Linked DNA regions of Yarrowia lipolytica. The protein of the gene in region 2 interacts with the protein of the main gene of each other region in a biochemical or structural test. Links are inferred from orthologs where the notes say so. Each region holds a gene or a part of one and is shown on either strand. Other genes may lie near its edges.

Evidence for each region.
Region 1: the proteins of YALI1_E05599g (region 2) and YALI1_C01416g form a complex in vitro, tested with the Saccharomyces cerevisiae proteins (2 studies listed by BioGRID). The link is inferred for Yarrowia lipolytica from reciprocal best matches to the Saccharomyces cerevisiae genes PEX4 and PEX10.

What each region holds. Positions count from the first base shown.
Region 1 is NC_090772.1:138,819-145,759, forward strand, and holds YALI1_C01416g (uncharacterized protein), read right to left. Parts: upstream 2,861-6,941; coding exon 1,727-2,860; downstream 1-1,726. Other genes in the region: YALI1_C01393g (uncharacterized protein), read left to right, coding at 523-1,107; YALI1_C01433g (uncharacterized protein), read left to right, coding at 4,517-6,941. UniProt on the Saccharomyces cerevisiae protein: E3 ubiquitin-protein ligase component of a retrotranslocation channel required for peroxisome organization by mediating export of the PEX5 receptor from peroxisomes to the cytosol, thereby promoting PEX5 recycling.
Region 2 is NC_090774.1:557,118-563,067, forward strand, and holds YALI1_E05599g (uncharacterized protein), read right to left. Parts: upstream 2,849-5,950; coding exon 2,201-2,848; downstream 1-2,200. Other genes in the region: YALI1_E05576g (uncharacterized protein), read right to left, coding at 1-537; YALI1_E05584g (uncharacterized protein), read left to right, coding at 1,309-2,061; YALI1_E05602g (uncharacterized protein), read left to right, coding at 3,083-4,219; YALI1_E05630g (uncharacterized protein), read right to left, coding at 4,349-5,914. UniProt on the Saccharomyces cerevisiae protein: Catalyzes the covalent attachment of ubiquitin to other proteins. Essential for peroxisome biogenesis. Required for UBC4-independent ubiquitination of PEX5.

The DNA.
Region 1 (6,941 bases), on a different chromosome or scaffold from region 2:
CGCCCTGGCGCTCACTTTCAGTTGCTTCGAAAAGACATGCCCAACCAGACTGAGCCAAACCAAACTGAGCCAAACCAAACTGAGCCAAACCAAACATCGAGAGCCCGCCATGACTCCCGAAAAATACACCGGCAGCCGATATCGTAGAGTCACGTGACCGACACAAACGCCCCGACAGTGCCTGACTGGCTTGGTGGTCCGACGACACTCGTCTTCTTCTCCGCTTCTGTACTGCCCCCTTTGCTCATGTCGCTGTGCGCCGATCTGCTTGGCCTGCATATTTCGAGGTGGGCGCGCGGTTAACTAAAATTACGACCCGAAGTGGGGCGTTATAAAGGGGGTTAAATGGGGAGTTTTCTGGAGAAAAATCCAATCAAATTACCCTCCCAGCTTCCAGCTTCTCCCTGATATGTCCATATTGTCAATACGACCCTTGTAGCTGTCGTTATCACAGCCGTTAGTGCCTTCAGATTAAGTGCCCCTCCAAACTCTATGCAGCTCGGTGCAGGTGGTACCTGAAATATGCCGTTAGTAACTATTAGTGAGGCTTCGGGAGTGGTTGTCTCGGTTGTCTCATTCAGACTCGTTGTGTTGTATCTATATCTATATAAACACTCTTGTCCCTCAATCCCACTGCCATCTTTTGCTAAACTTGCCGCCAATATGAAACTCATCTCCCTCATCACCGTCGCTACCACCGCTCTGGCGGCTGTCGGAGACAAGTACAAGCTGACCTATACCAGATCAGACGCCCAATCGGTCGAATCTCTGCCCGTCACCTACCAAGATGACCTGATCACCGCCTCCACCGACGGCGAACCCATCACCATCACCGAGGGCGAGGGCAACACCTTCTCTGTTAACGACATGCCCATCGCCTATCTGGAGCTGCAGGCTTTGTTCTGGACCGGCGACTACGGCTACAAGCTCCAGGGCTCGGTCTTTGACATTGCCGCCGATGGAACCTTTGAGCTGAGAGACGGCCCCAAGGAGTACTACTATTGCACTCCTCACCCTGAGCGAAACGTCATCTACGTCATCAACAGCCCCGACTACTCCAAGTGTCGGTTCAAGCGTACCATCAAGTTCCACGCTGAAAAGATCTAAGTGGTAATCGACCGACTAACCATTTTTAGCTGACAAACACTTGCTAACTCCTATAACGAATGAATGACTAACTTGGCATATTGTTACCAAGTATTACTTGGGATATAGTTGAGTGTAACCATTGCTAAGAATCCAAACTGGAGCTTCTAAAGGTCTGGGAGTCGCCGTATGTGTTCATATCGAAATCAAAGAAATCATAATCGCAACAGAATTCAAAATCAAGCAGATTAATATCCATTATTGTACTCGGATCGTGACATATCTGATATGATCTCGGATATGATCTCTGACTGTTTACTGGGAGATTTGTTGAAGATTTGTTGAGGTTATCTGAAAAGTAGACAATAGAGACAAAATGACGATATCAAGAACTGAATCGGGCCGAAATACTCGGTATCATTCCCTTCAGCAGTAACTGTATTGCTCTATCAATGCGACGAGATACCTCCACAATTAATACTGTATACGCTCTACCACTCATATCTCCAATGCTAAAATATATTCATGCCCAGGACCTCTGTGCACTGCTATGCAGCACAGTGTTGTCGATTGAATTGGTCGTGTCTGGTCCCTGATGCTCTGTGTCTCGCTGACTAGTCCTTCCATCCAGACCTCGTCATTATCTGATAGGCAACAAGTTCTGCTCTCTCACACCCTGCCGACACAAGGGACACTCGGGCTTCTCTCTCACCCATTCGGAAATACAGTCCCAACAGAAAAAGTGTCCACATGGCGTACATGCCGGCGCACTAATGTATGACAGACACAGAGTGCACGCTCTGGACGCCTCAGGAATGAACTTGAGCTGTCGAGGGTCCTCCAGATCGATCTTGTCTTCCGTCTCCCCTTCTGTATCCTCAATGAACGGAATTGACGACTTCTTTTTCGGCACAACCGCTTCCTTTTCATCTTCCTTCTCCCCTGCCTCTTTCTCCACGCTCTTTTCCAGCAGCGCTCCGAGGTACTCTCTTCCCGTCTGCACAAATGACGTGGCAAACCGGGCGAAAATCAGCAGACCGAGCATCTCGTAACCGATTCGAGGCTCATTCTTGTCCAGTCGGTGTCCAAATACATAACGCATGCCCCAGATCCGCTTACTGAGCTGGTAGTACGAGCCGTAGACGTAGAAAATCGCCAAGTGGATCGCGGTAAACCCCTCCAGCGCCGTGAACTTGTCAAACTTGTTCACAAACGTCTTGATGACCCGCTCCTTCCATGTTTCCGGGCTGGGCACAGGCTCATCTTCGTCGTACTCCACCAGATGGGGATACTCGCGCATCAGTTTGGCGCGCAACTTGCCCATGTAGCGCACAAACAGGTATGGAAACAGAGTGTTGGAAAGCACGTAGCCAAACCGTCTCACCACCCCCGGTAGAGCTGTTCGGTCTCTGATAGTGTACATGAGATTGGTGTACTCTTCTCCGAGAGTCTTGGAGCCCACAAGCGTACACAAACCGAGATATGCAAACTTGGACGCCGTCTCCAGCTCCTCCTTGTACTGGTGGATAAATCGTACTCCCTTCCATTTCTGCAGAAACGTGACGAGATGCTGTTCAAGCACGGACTCAAAGTAGTGGTCTTTCTGGTTGGCTCGGATGATTTCTGCGGCCCCAGCGTAAGGCAGGCGTTCCGTCCGGATCGGTTTGGGTCGGATCGGCTTTTTGATTGTCGTATTGTCGCTCATGTTGGACCTGGTGTGTAGTTGTAGTGTCAGATCAGATTCACCAGCGAATGCATGTGAACTTCCCCACATTTTGAGCCGAGGCAGATTTGGGTTGCTTAGTAAGCAGACGTGGCGTTGCAAGTAGATGTGGCAAATGGGGACGAAGATTCCGAGGGGATATCATAGTTCCAAGGGGATGTCATCATTTGCCAGCTTTCGCCGCCACTTTTGACGAGTTTTTGTGGGTCAAATAAGTTTAGTTGAACTTTTCAAATTTCAGTTGGCATTTTGTTAATAGAAAGGGTGCCGGTGCTGGGGGGTTCATTCCTCGGGTTGCAGATATCCTATCTGTCTTAGGGGTATCTCTTTCAATCGACAAGATGTAGTTGGGTAACAATTATTTATTAATATTCTCTCCATCCAGTACAGTACTAACATCTTGACATCTCAGCACAAGTGCATCTTCCCAAGTGTTTGTTGGAGAGGTTGTTGGGTATTACTTAGGAAACAGAACACAGTACGTGGAGATCTTGGATACATCGTACATGGAGGTTATCCATAAAAAAGACCCTCCAGGACTAGTTACAATGCCGTTAGATGAGGAAATCCACAACCCTGATTCACTATGAACATATTATCTTCCCCCAAACTTGCGATATATGGCCCTTGATGATAGCCTTGATTTTACCCTTGATGGTACCTCCACGACCAACCGATCTGCTGTTTGAAGAGATATTTTCAAATTTGAAGTGCTCAGATCTACTAAACATGAGTCCAGTAATTCTTTCCGTCTTTCCGATTTCCGATATTCCCTTTTTTAGCCCGACTTTTCACTGCTCCCATGTCAAACGATTAGGACTTGGGAGACAATCCCACTGTCAAAATCACCCCGATATTCTCTGTAAAACAAGTACTTCTTCCACGTGATCTTCAAATACCTCTTCCACGTGACCTTCAAATACCTCTTCAAGTACCTCTTCCACGCGACCTTCAAAGTCCCTTCAAATACCCTTCTCAATTCTCCCCTTCTCCTCCATAGTCCTTCTCTCTGACTAAGCTTGAGAATACATGACGCTAAGACGAAAACACACTAGAGACCCTGAGAGCCTGAACATGCATCCACTCTGCAGTTGCGCACGTGCCTACAGCAACTATCGGGTCCAGTGCTGGATCTGACACTGCGTCTCCCTATGAAGAAACTGATAAACAGATCTGCACTCATAACAATGATCTGAGCGATGAAAACGTGACCTCCACAGCCACAAGTCATAATCTGAGAAATACCAATCCCGGAAATACCTCAAGTTTGGCCCAATATCAGCTTCAAAACACTTTGCTCGCCAAATTTCACACCCCCTCGATTGATTCACAATATCTATAATTAGCAGACAGCAGACAGCTGAAATTATGGAGCTTATTAATGACAAAAGCAAGGACAGACTGACGTCGCCACAGCGGACGGAGATGAGGGTTCACGTGACCAGAAACGAAGGACGTGTTGCGTCTCTCGATCAGGGGTCACGTGAACATCCGATTTATCACGTGGCAACCCCTATTTTGCCCTATTTTGCCCTATTTTGCCCCTCGAACCCTCGACCTTCTCCTGACTAAGCATCCACCCCCACTATCCTCTACCACCCCTTAAACTTCGCATTCATGCATGCACTCTCCGTATCAACATCATCAACCATCTCTCCCTCTCTCTCTCTCTCTCTGAACACTTGACACTTGAACACAACAACCCACATGTCAGCTATACGCCGCAAACCCGTGGGAGACCCGCTCACGACGACGCGACGACACTCGCGGGTCAAGTCGGGAATCTCCAGGGTAACCGAAAAGTCACTGTTCGACCAGGTGCTCAAGGTGTGTGTCTTGTCATACCGATGCGAACCGCGATTCCGAGGGGGAGGCAAACGGCAGTCGCGTGACTTGGCGTCTCTGGGGGTGTCGGATCCCACTCCGTCGTTCGGCGACCAAAAGTTGCCCAAGGAGGCCCCCAAGCTGCTGCAGCAGAAGCTTAACAAGCTGGCTCTTAACCAGGGTTCTAGCGACATCACTGACCCGCTGGTTCGGCGGTGTTTCCTCGCATTTTACGCTCTACTTTTGGATCCAGACTTTTCCCGTCGAATCAAAGAAAACAGACGGGCTGAAGACGTGGTCATGTTCTTCATTTCCTCGTCCACGAAGGAGTTGGCCAAAAGCGGCTCACAGCCAGCAGAAACTAAACGACTGGTCAATTACTTCACCGCCACCTTTGTCAAATTTCTGATTGCCACCCTGCGAGAAGCAGGATTCGAATCGTCCTGTGCTTCTCTTATTCGACAACTACAGAGCTACGAATCAAAGCTGGTTAATGATACGGGCAACCTGGGAGAGTCAAACGGAAGCGCATCTTACTCGGCGGGACTGACACCAACGTTTGACGTGGCAGATATTCATCTGGCCAAATCGCTGGGTCCGTACTTTCTCATGAGTGACAGTCTTATTCAGAAAGGTGTCTCTGAAATCAAAGATACAGCCACTGAGCAGGCAGCAGAGGCAGATCTTCGACTAGCACTGGACCAACTCAAACAAGACAGATTCCCATATTACCAAAGACAGTATTTTGGTTCTGACGACGCGTATCAGGATTACAAGAATCGAGCTATAGAAGCTGTTCAGACACAGCTGGCAGGGTATGGAGCCCAGTCGTCAACCCAGAGCACCACTTACTACTACATTCCCGAAGATCCGCGTGCCTACGGGCGATTACTGGTCAAAATCTGTCTTTCCCACGACCTCAAGTCCAAAAGTGATACTCTACTGAGCAAAAACTCGATCGCCATTCTCACGGAATGCTTTAATCTGTGGCAAATTCCATCCAGTACACGAGCCGCGCTTGTTATGGACGTTTGTCAAGAACTGCTCAAGTTGAAGGAGCTTCCCATCTCCCTCATCGAGGACTCGGTGTCTTTCATTTCACACGTAGGCCGGGAGAACGGCAAACGAGAGTGGGACACGTCTCTGTGGCCGGTCTGCGACAGAGAAGTGTACGTGTTGGGGCTCAAGGAGGTGCTTGTGTTCGTCATTGACCTCATTTCAGGCTGCATTAAGTCAATCTACGAACAGAAACCACCCTCCATTGGTCCCTATCTGCAGATTCTCGGCGAGTGTGTCTTTTGCTCGTCCGAATGGGACAGGGTCGAGATGATAGTCGATATGCCCAAGGTATTCGACAATCTGAGTCTAGTGGTCAAGAGTGTGGCCGAGCATAAATACGACGAGTTCATCGACGCCATTCCACGTGACCATACACTGGATCCTCTGCATATCATCGAGTTGGCGGACCGAATCATCTCTTCCGCTGAGAGGCTGCAGAAACGATATAAACGGCCGCTTTTAGAGCACGTTCCCATTGCTCTGATTGCAGCCAAGACACATTTTTCGCTGTTTTCTGTTGATTCGCAGTCCATGTTCACCCATCTGATGAGCCACATGACCGCACGACACGAGGAGCCCTCTTACGATGATATGACGCTGCTGTATAAGAAGCTGTGCGAGATCAGAGAGCTCTATGTCCAAGTTTTACCTGGCAAGTTCCCGTTTGATCTCGAGGCTGCGTTTGTCAAGTACATTAGACGGCATGTGGAACAGTCAGCGACTCTAGCGACTTCCTGGGTTGATCCTGCCATTGATGCGGATAAGTGGGAGCCTATGGACGAAGGAGAAGGCATCATGTACTCGTCTTCGGTGGCAGACATGTTCACTTCGTTGGGAACAGCTCTGGCGATCATCTCAGAGCTCCACTGGGACAATCCCGTGCATGTGGCCCAGTTCTACACCACATTGATGAATGGCGTGTCAGTGGCTGTGTGCAAGTACGCCTCGAGAGTGTTCCAACTGTTCAGCGAGGAACTGGAACTCGAGGACGACAAGAAGGTCAAGTACAAAAGCCGGCAGGAAAAGTGGATGGCCATGGCAAAAAACGCCATGGCTGGTAGTGCTCCTCTCACTCCGTATCAGTTCAAAAAGACCACATGCATTAAACTGAACGATATTGAGACGGCACAGGCAAAACTGGACGAGATTGAGGCGCAGTTGGACTCGGAGAAGCTTGCAAAGGTTCTGGAGGGAGTCAATACCAATGCTGGACCCGGTAAGATTGTTACCAAGGACACAACCAACAAGA
Region 2 (5,950 bases):
AAAGAAGGTGTCCCAAATTTCCGTGTAGGTCATAATGAACAGATAGGCCAGGGTTTCACCCAGCTTGTTCTTCATGTGGACTGGATCATCAGCAAAGCTGACGGCCTGGCCGACATTGACGTTGGCCTGTCCCTGGCTGAGTCCACTGCCCATTCTCACGTATGCAAAAAGGTGATCACGCACATAGACAAGCTGCTCACGGTTGAGCCGACCCAGAGCCTCATCAATCACCTGAAGACTAAAGTATCGCGCAGCATCACTTCGCTTCCGGTCTCCAGCAAACATCGCCAAGCACATCTGCCAACCTTCGTCAGACGCCTTGACCTGGTTGCAGAAATCCAGGGCCTGCTGTCGCACGGCCGGGTCGCCGACGCCTTGGATCGCGATATCTACCGCCTGTTCGATTTGGTCTTCCATTTGGTTGATGTTGTGAATTTTATGAAAACCACGTCTTAGTTGCAAAGCTAGATTTGTTTGAAAAGTTACCCGGAAAATTACACACTGTGGCGAGTCACGTGCAGTTGGTGGGGCAACCATACCAAGTGGGAAACCTCTCTGCACGCGTGGTGACTATTTTCATTTTCTCTGTAAGCAGGAGCTCTTCATATCACGCCCCATCAATTTAATGAATTTTACGTGCAAAAATTTCCGCCCCGCAAAAAGTAAGGACCCCTTAGTTATTACTTGTACTCTATTCTTGACACCCAACTCTGTACAAGTATGAGGTTGTTGACAGTGTATTTACTATGTGTTGGACTGTTTGTGAGTCTGTCTGTGCAGGTCTGTGCCTTAGAGAAAAAACACCAACTCTGTACGTAAGCCTATTTCTCTTGGGTGAGAACCTGTCCACGTCTTCAAACTTTGATAGTATGTAGTGCGCATCACGTGAATGACATGATAAGCCGACTCGGCATGAGTGCGGAAATGACACCAGCGGGGTATATATGGCAATGACGATGGTATTTAGCTGGTCCGATCTTGATCCCACGTTCGACCGAACATGTCCCGATCGTCGCCACCTCTTGAATTACACCACATCCCCCAAAACATTCTTCACATTCTTGCTCCCGATACTGGATGTTCCTTTGATTAAACTTCGGGTCACCTACAATCGCCTCATCCTCTCAACCGGACCTCCACTTTCTACACCAACCACACATCCCTACATCAAAAGACGTCCAAACGCGGTTCTTTTGAAGCACGGAAACCAGCAGGACACTCCCCTAGCATAACTCGTCACGTGACAATCCTTTTTATCCGCCCTACATCCAGAGTTGCGGCTTTATCCAGCCACCCACCACAGCCATCATGTACCGACCCACAACCGCTACCAGACTCAGTGTGGCTCCCTGCCGACTCATCATAAGACACAAGTCATCCAAGTCACCATCTCCCGCCTCCAACGTGGCTCCCCAGCCCGTGAAGAAGGGCGAAGAAGACGAGGTCAAGGCCGACGCCAAACCCGAGGCAGCTAATAAAGCTCCACAGCCCAAGACCGCCTCCACAACTGCTACATCCACATCCACTACATCCACCGCTGCATCTTCGCCTGCCCCCTCGGCACCAGCTCCTCCATACGAGAACAACCCTTACATGTTCAGTCGTAGCCACTTCACCCCAAACTTCTCGCGACACCAGAGTGGCAACACTTCGTCCCCCACCCGCATTCTCGGCATCCAGCCACACCCCTTCACCGTCAAGGAACACACCGGAGAGTCCATGAACGAGATTTTCCTCCACAAGGCGCTCGCCTCACACATGCAGCCTCTGCTGCTGAGCCTGGACGACCGAAAGAGAGAGATCCCCAGCAAGGTGTACAAGTTCCGAAACCAGCGACAGGTTCCCAAGGCCGAAAATTCGCTGTGGCTCAAGTCTGTGCTGCGACAGCAGACGCACTCAGACATGGACCTCATTCCCCAGGAAATGCTCCAGCAGATGGTGCCCTTCCGGCCTCTCAGTGACGTTACCCGAAAGTTTTGGGACGTCAAGATGAAGGTTGACTTCAAGCGGCAGCAGCAGCGGAAGCAGGAGCCAGAAGAAGAGGAGGATGACTCCTACTGAACGCTTTTTTGAGCGCCGATTTTGTGTCTCACTTATATTCTAGAATGAACCCCGCTATATCATACTGGGAACATTAGAGTCCAGTTCCCACTAACTCATATAACTTATTGATTTATTACGACGTTTTGTACCAACTACTCTAGTTTCCCGATGCATACTTGTTGACGTAATATCGAACCAGACCTTCCATGGCGCTTTCGTCGCCACATCGCACGAGATTGGCTGCGTCAATGTTAAGAGGCGAATCTGGTTCTGGCAGAGATAGCATGGCCGACACTGCGGTGCATGCAGAAGAGATGGTCCATGCTGGGGACCACTGCGTCTTGAGAACGTCAATGCACACCTCTCCGGTTTCAAAGTGGATGTTTGGGTGGCAGATTTTCGTTCGGAAAAACATGGTCGGTGGCTGTAGCGGGTAGTTTTCGGGGATGTTGATTTCCACCTGCCAGAGACCGTTTTCATATGCAGTGCCCTCGGTTCCTCTCATGACGGCAGTCCATTTGTAGAGATTATCGCCGTCGGCTGTGAGCGATGCTAGGCAAGGATTGGGGTCTTTCTTGTATGCTGCCAGCTCCTTGATGAGTCGTTTCTGGGAGGCCATTTTCAGAGCGTATGATTGTGCTTGAGTAGATGTTAGGGCGATGGCTAGGGCGGCAAGAGCGAGCTTAAGAGACACAAATGTGACGCAGAAGACAAATAACAGAAATGCGGCGGTAACGAGATAGCTCAGAGAGGTTGCGACGAAAAACCAGACGTTGACGGTGGAGATCCGAGGTAGAGATTTCATGCGATGCAAGCCATAGGTACAGTAATATATCACATGCGTCAGTTGGGAGGAGAAAAGTGCTGTGTCACGGGGGTTGGGGTCCAACCTTACACGCACTGTAGCTTAATATCAACGGTCGTCCTGGGGGGCGTTGGAGTAAGGTTTTTACCTTGCATAACCACACAGAATAATCGGCATCGCGATACTTAGACAGCACTACAGTACCACTTCAACACAGCGCACAATTTTATCAACATGTCACACTCACACCCGGTACGGCGAATTCTGTCGCCCAAAGATCTGGAAATATTTGGCGCCAGTGACACAAAAAAGCAAGTGTTTGGGTTCGTGAAGGTGCTCAACTACTATGTGGTGGGCAAGGGCAACTCATACGAGACGCTGAAGCACCCAATCATTGGCAAATTGGTGGCCATTCTCGACAAGGTGATTGATCTTGTCGCCAAGTATCCGCCTGAAGATGCTACGTCGTCACGGTTCGGAAAACCTGAGTTCAGAGATTTCCATCAGGCTCTGGAGGAGAACGCCAAGGACTGGATCTCGGATTTGGGAGAGTTGGAGGACTGGCAGCTCGTGGAGCTCTGTACATATTTCGCTGCCTCTTTTGGTGACCGAACGCGAATTGATTTCGGATCTGGCCACGAGCTCAACTTTATCTGTTTCCTCTTCTGTCTGAGGCAGCTGGGTCTGCTTGATGTGCCAGAGTACAATCCTGAGGTGCACGATCCAACAGGAGAGGCCAAGAATGCCAAGTGTGTGGAAGATGAGACTGATTCCTCTGCAGCAGTTTTGACGGTGTTTGTCCAGTATCTTAAGACCATGCGTGCTGTTCAAGCAAGCTATTGGCTGGAGCCTGCAGGCTCTCATGGTGTCTGGGGTCTCGATGACTACCACTTCCTACCCTTCATGTTTGGATCTGCCCAGCTTGCATGCCACAAGTACCTGCGGCCGTTATCCATCCACGACATGGAGATGTTGGATATGTGGAAGCATGAGTATCTGTACATGGGTTGCATCCACTTCATCAACAGTGTCAAGACCACTGCTTCTCTGAGATGGCATTCCCCCATGCTGGATGACATCTCCGGAGTCAAGACCTGGGCCAAGGTGAACCAGGGTATGGTTAAGATGTACGACGCTGAGGTTCTGAGCAAGCTCCCCATTCTCCAGCATTTCATGTTCGGTCAGCTGATCAAGGCTCCTGAGGGGGTGTCACCTCCTCCTGATCCCAATGCTGAAGTGCAGCACATTCACAACCATTGGGCTGACTGTTGTGGAATCAAGGTGCCCAGTGCCATTGCAGCCTCTGAGATGAGCCAGAAACCTGGAGATCTGCGCAAACTGCGTGGTTCCGGTGTTTTGCCTTTTGATTAGGCAATCCCCAGCTTCCATTGGCACGAAATTATACAATAGATAGGCATATAAACTACGATACAATACAGGATGAGGTAATGATTAGATGATATGGCGAATAAGCAAAATAAATATAGGTGACCGGGGTAGCTAGACCTCAGAGGGATCTCCGAGGTAGAAGCACTGGAACGAGAGGCTGTTTACAGTGGACCCAACCAAAACGCCGTTTCTCTTGTGCCAGACAATCTTCTTTCGATCATTCTGGCCCACGGGTACCGTGCAGAATTGAAAGGTAGACATGTCTAGCACACCTCTGGAGAAGACCAGGTGTTTGCCAAACTGAACAGGGTGTACGTCGGCAACGAACCCATACTTTTCGGGGATCAAGTAAGCCTTGACTGAATCAGTAGAGCAATCGTAGATTATTCTCCACGATGCGAGCCTACCCTCTTTGAATATGACCAGGTTGTCTCCAAAAGTTAGAATGCGGTGATGCCACCACTGTTTTCCTCTCAAATTGCCATTCTTCTGCGTTCGAGAAATATGGCTGACTGACAGAACAAGCTTATAATGAGGCAGGGGGGAATTTAGAGAGCTGGTCAGGAGGTAAATGTAGTGAACATCTTCCTTGTATGACTCCACCAAAAAGAGATTCGAAGTTGGACTTCCAGCCAGTGCCAGTGCGTACTTCTCGTTTTTCTGAGGTAGAAATGTGTAGAATTGTGAAGCGTAAGACGCTTCTTTCACGTAGGGCTGAAAGCAACGAATGATGCAAATCTCTGTGGGTCCTGAGAGAGAAGCCTTGTAGCTGGTGCTGAAAAGAGCAGCAACGACTCTGTTGCTAGATGCCTCACCGAGGTGGAAGTAATTCGAGCAAATTCTGACATTCCACCAGTAGCTGGGATCGCCCACATTCAAGCAGTCTGTGTTTGGAATGGTGCGCAGAGTTGTGTTAGTCGATTTGTCCTTCGACGCACGAGGTGCTGGCTGGTGGATCCAAGGAGTCATGGCGCCGGTTATGGGATTGAAGAAGGCATGGGTGGACTTGCCAGATATGACGTAGCCCTCAGTGATGGGATTCACCACAGACCCGGGGGTATAAAGCTCCTGCGACACCTTGAGAGTCTCCTGGAAGTGGCTGGAAAAGTTCCGTGGGTCGTACTCTGTTGCACTCTTGGGTTCGAAAAACAAGTCAACCCAATCGAAACATTGAGGTGGGTCGACTGACTGATCAACATCTGTGGAATCACCGGTATCACCGACCATCATCCATCCGGGAATGAACTTCTGAGGGACAATCTTGGTCGCGACTTTCTCCTCGGTAATCTCCAGAGTGGTATCATCTTCCGAGGGGGGTTGCGTGGTCTGTGTAGTGTCGGACTCGTGGACAGCAGCAAAGGTAGTCTCCCAAGCCTCGGGAGCCAAAGGAAAGACTACCCGAGATTTCTCAATGGTTTCAATGTCCCATTGGAAGTCAGCAACAGGACCGTCATTGCTGAAGTCGACCTCAAAGGCGGTGATGAGAGGATTGGCAGCAACAGGAACAGGTTCGGTGGACTTGGGTCGTAGCGTGGCCTTGCTCTTGGCCGGTGGCAGGGCCTTTTTCTTGGAAATCTTGAAGCTGTGGTGGATTGCCATCGCGTATGGGTGTCCGGATGAGTAAAATACATACATTGTGATTCCAATTATATAAATATTGAGATGATTGCAAGACATTGGCCCTGTAACGGGTGACAAGCTGATAATAAATAT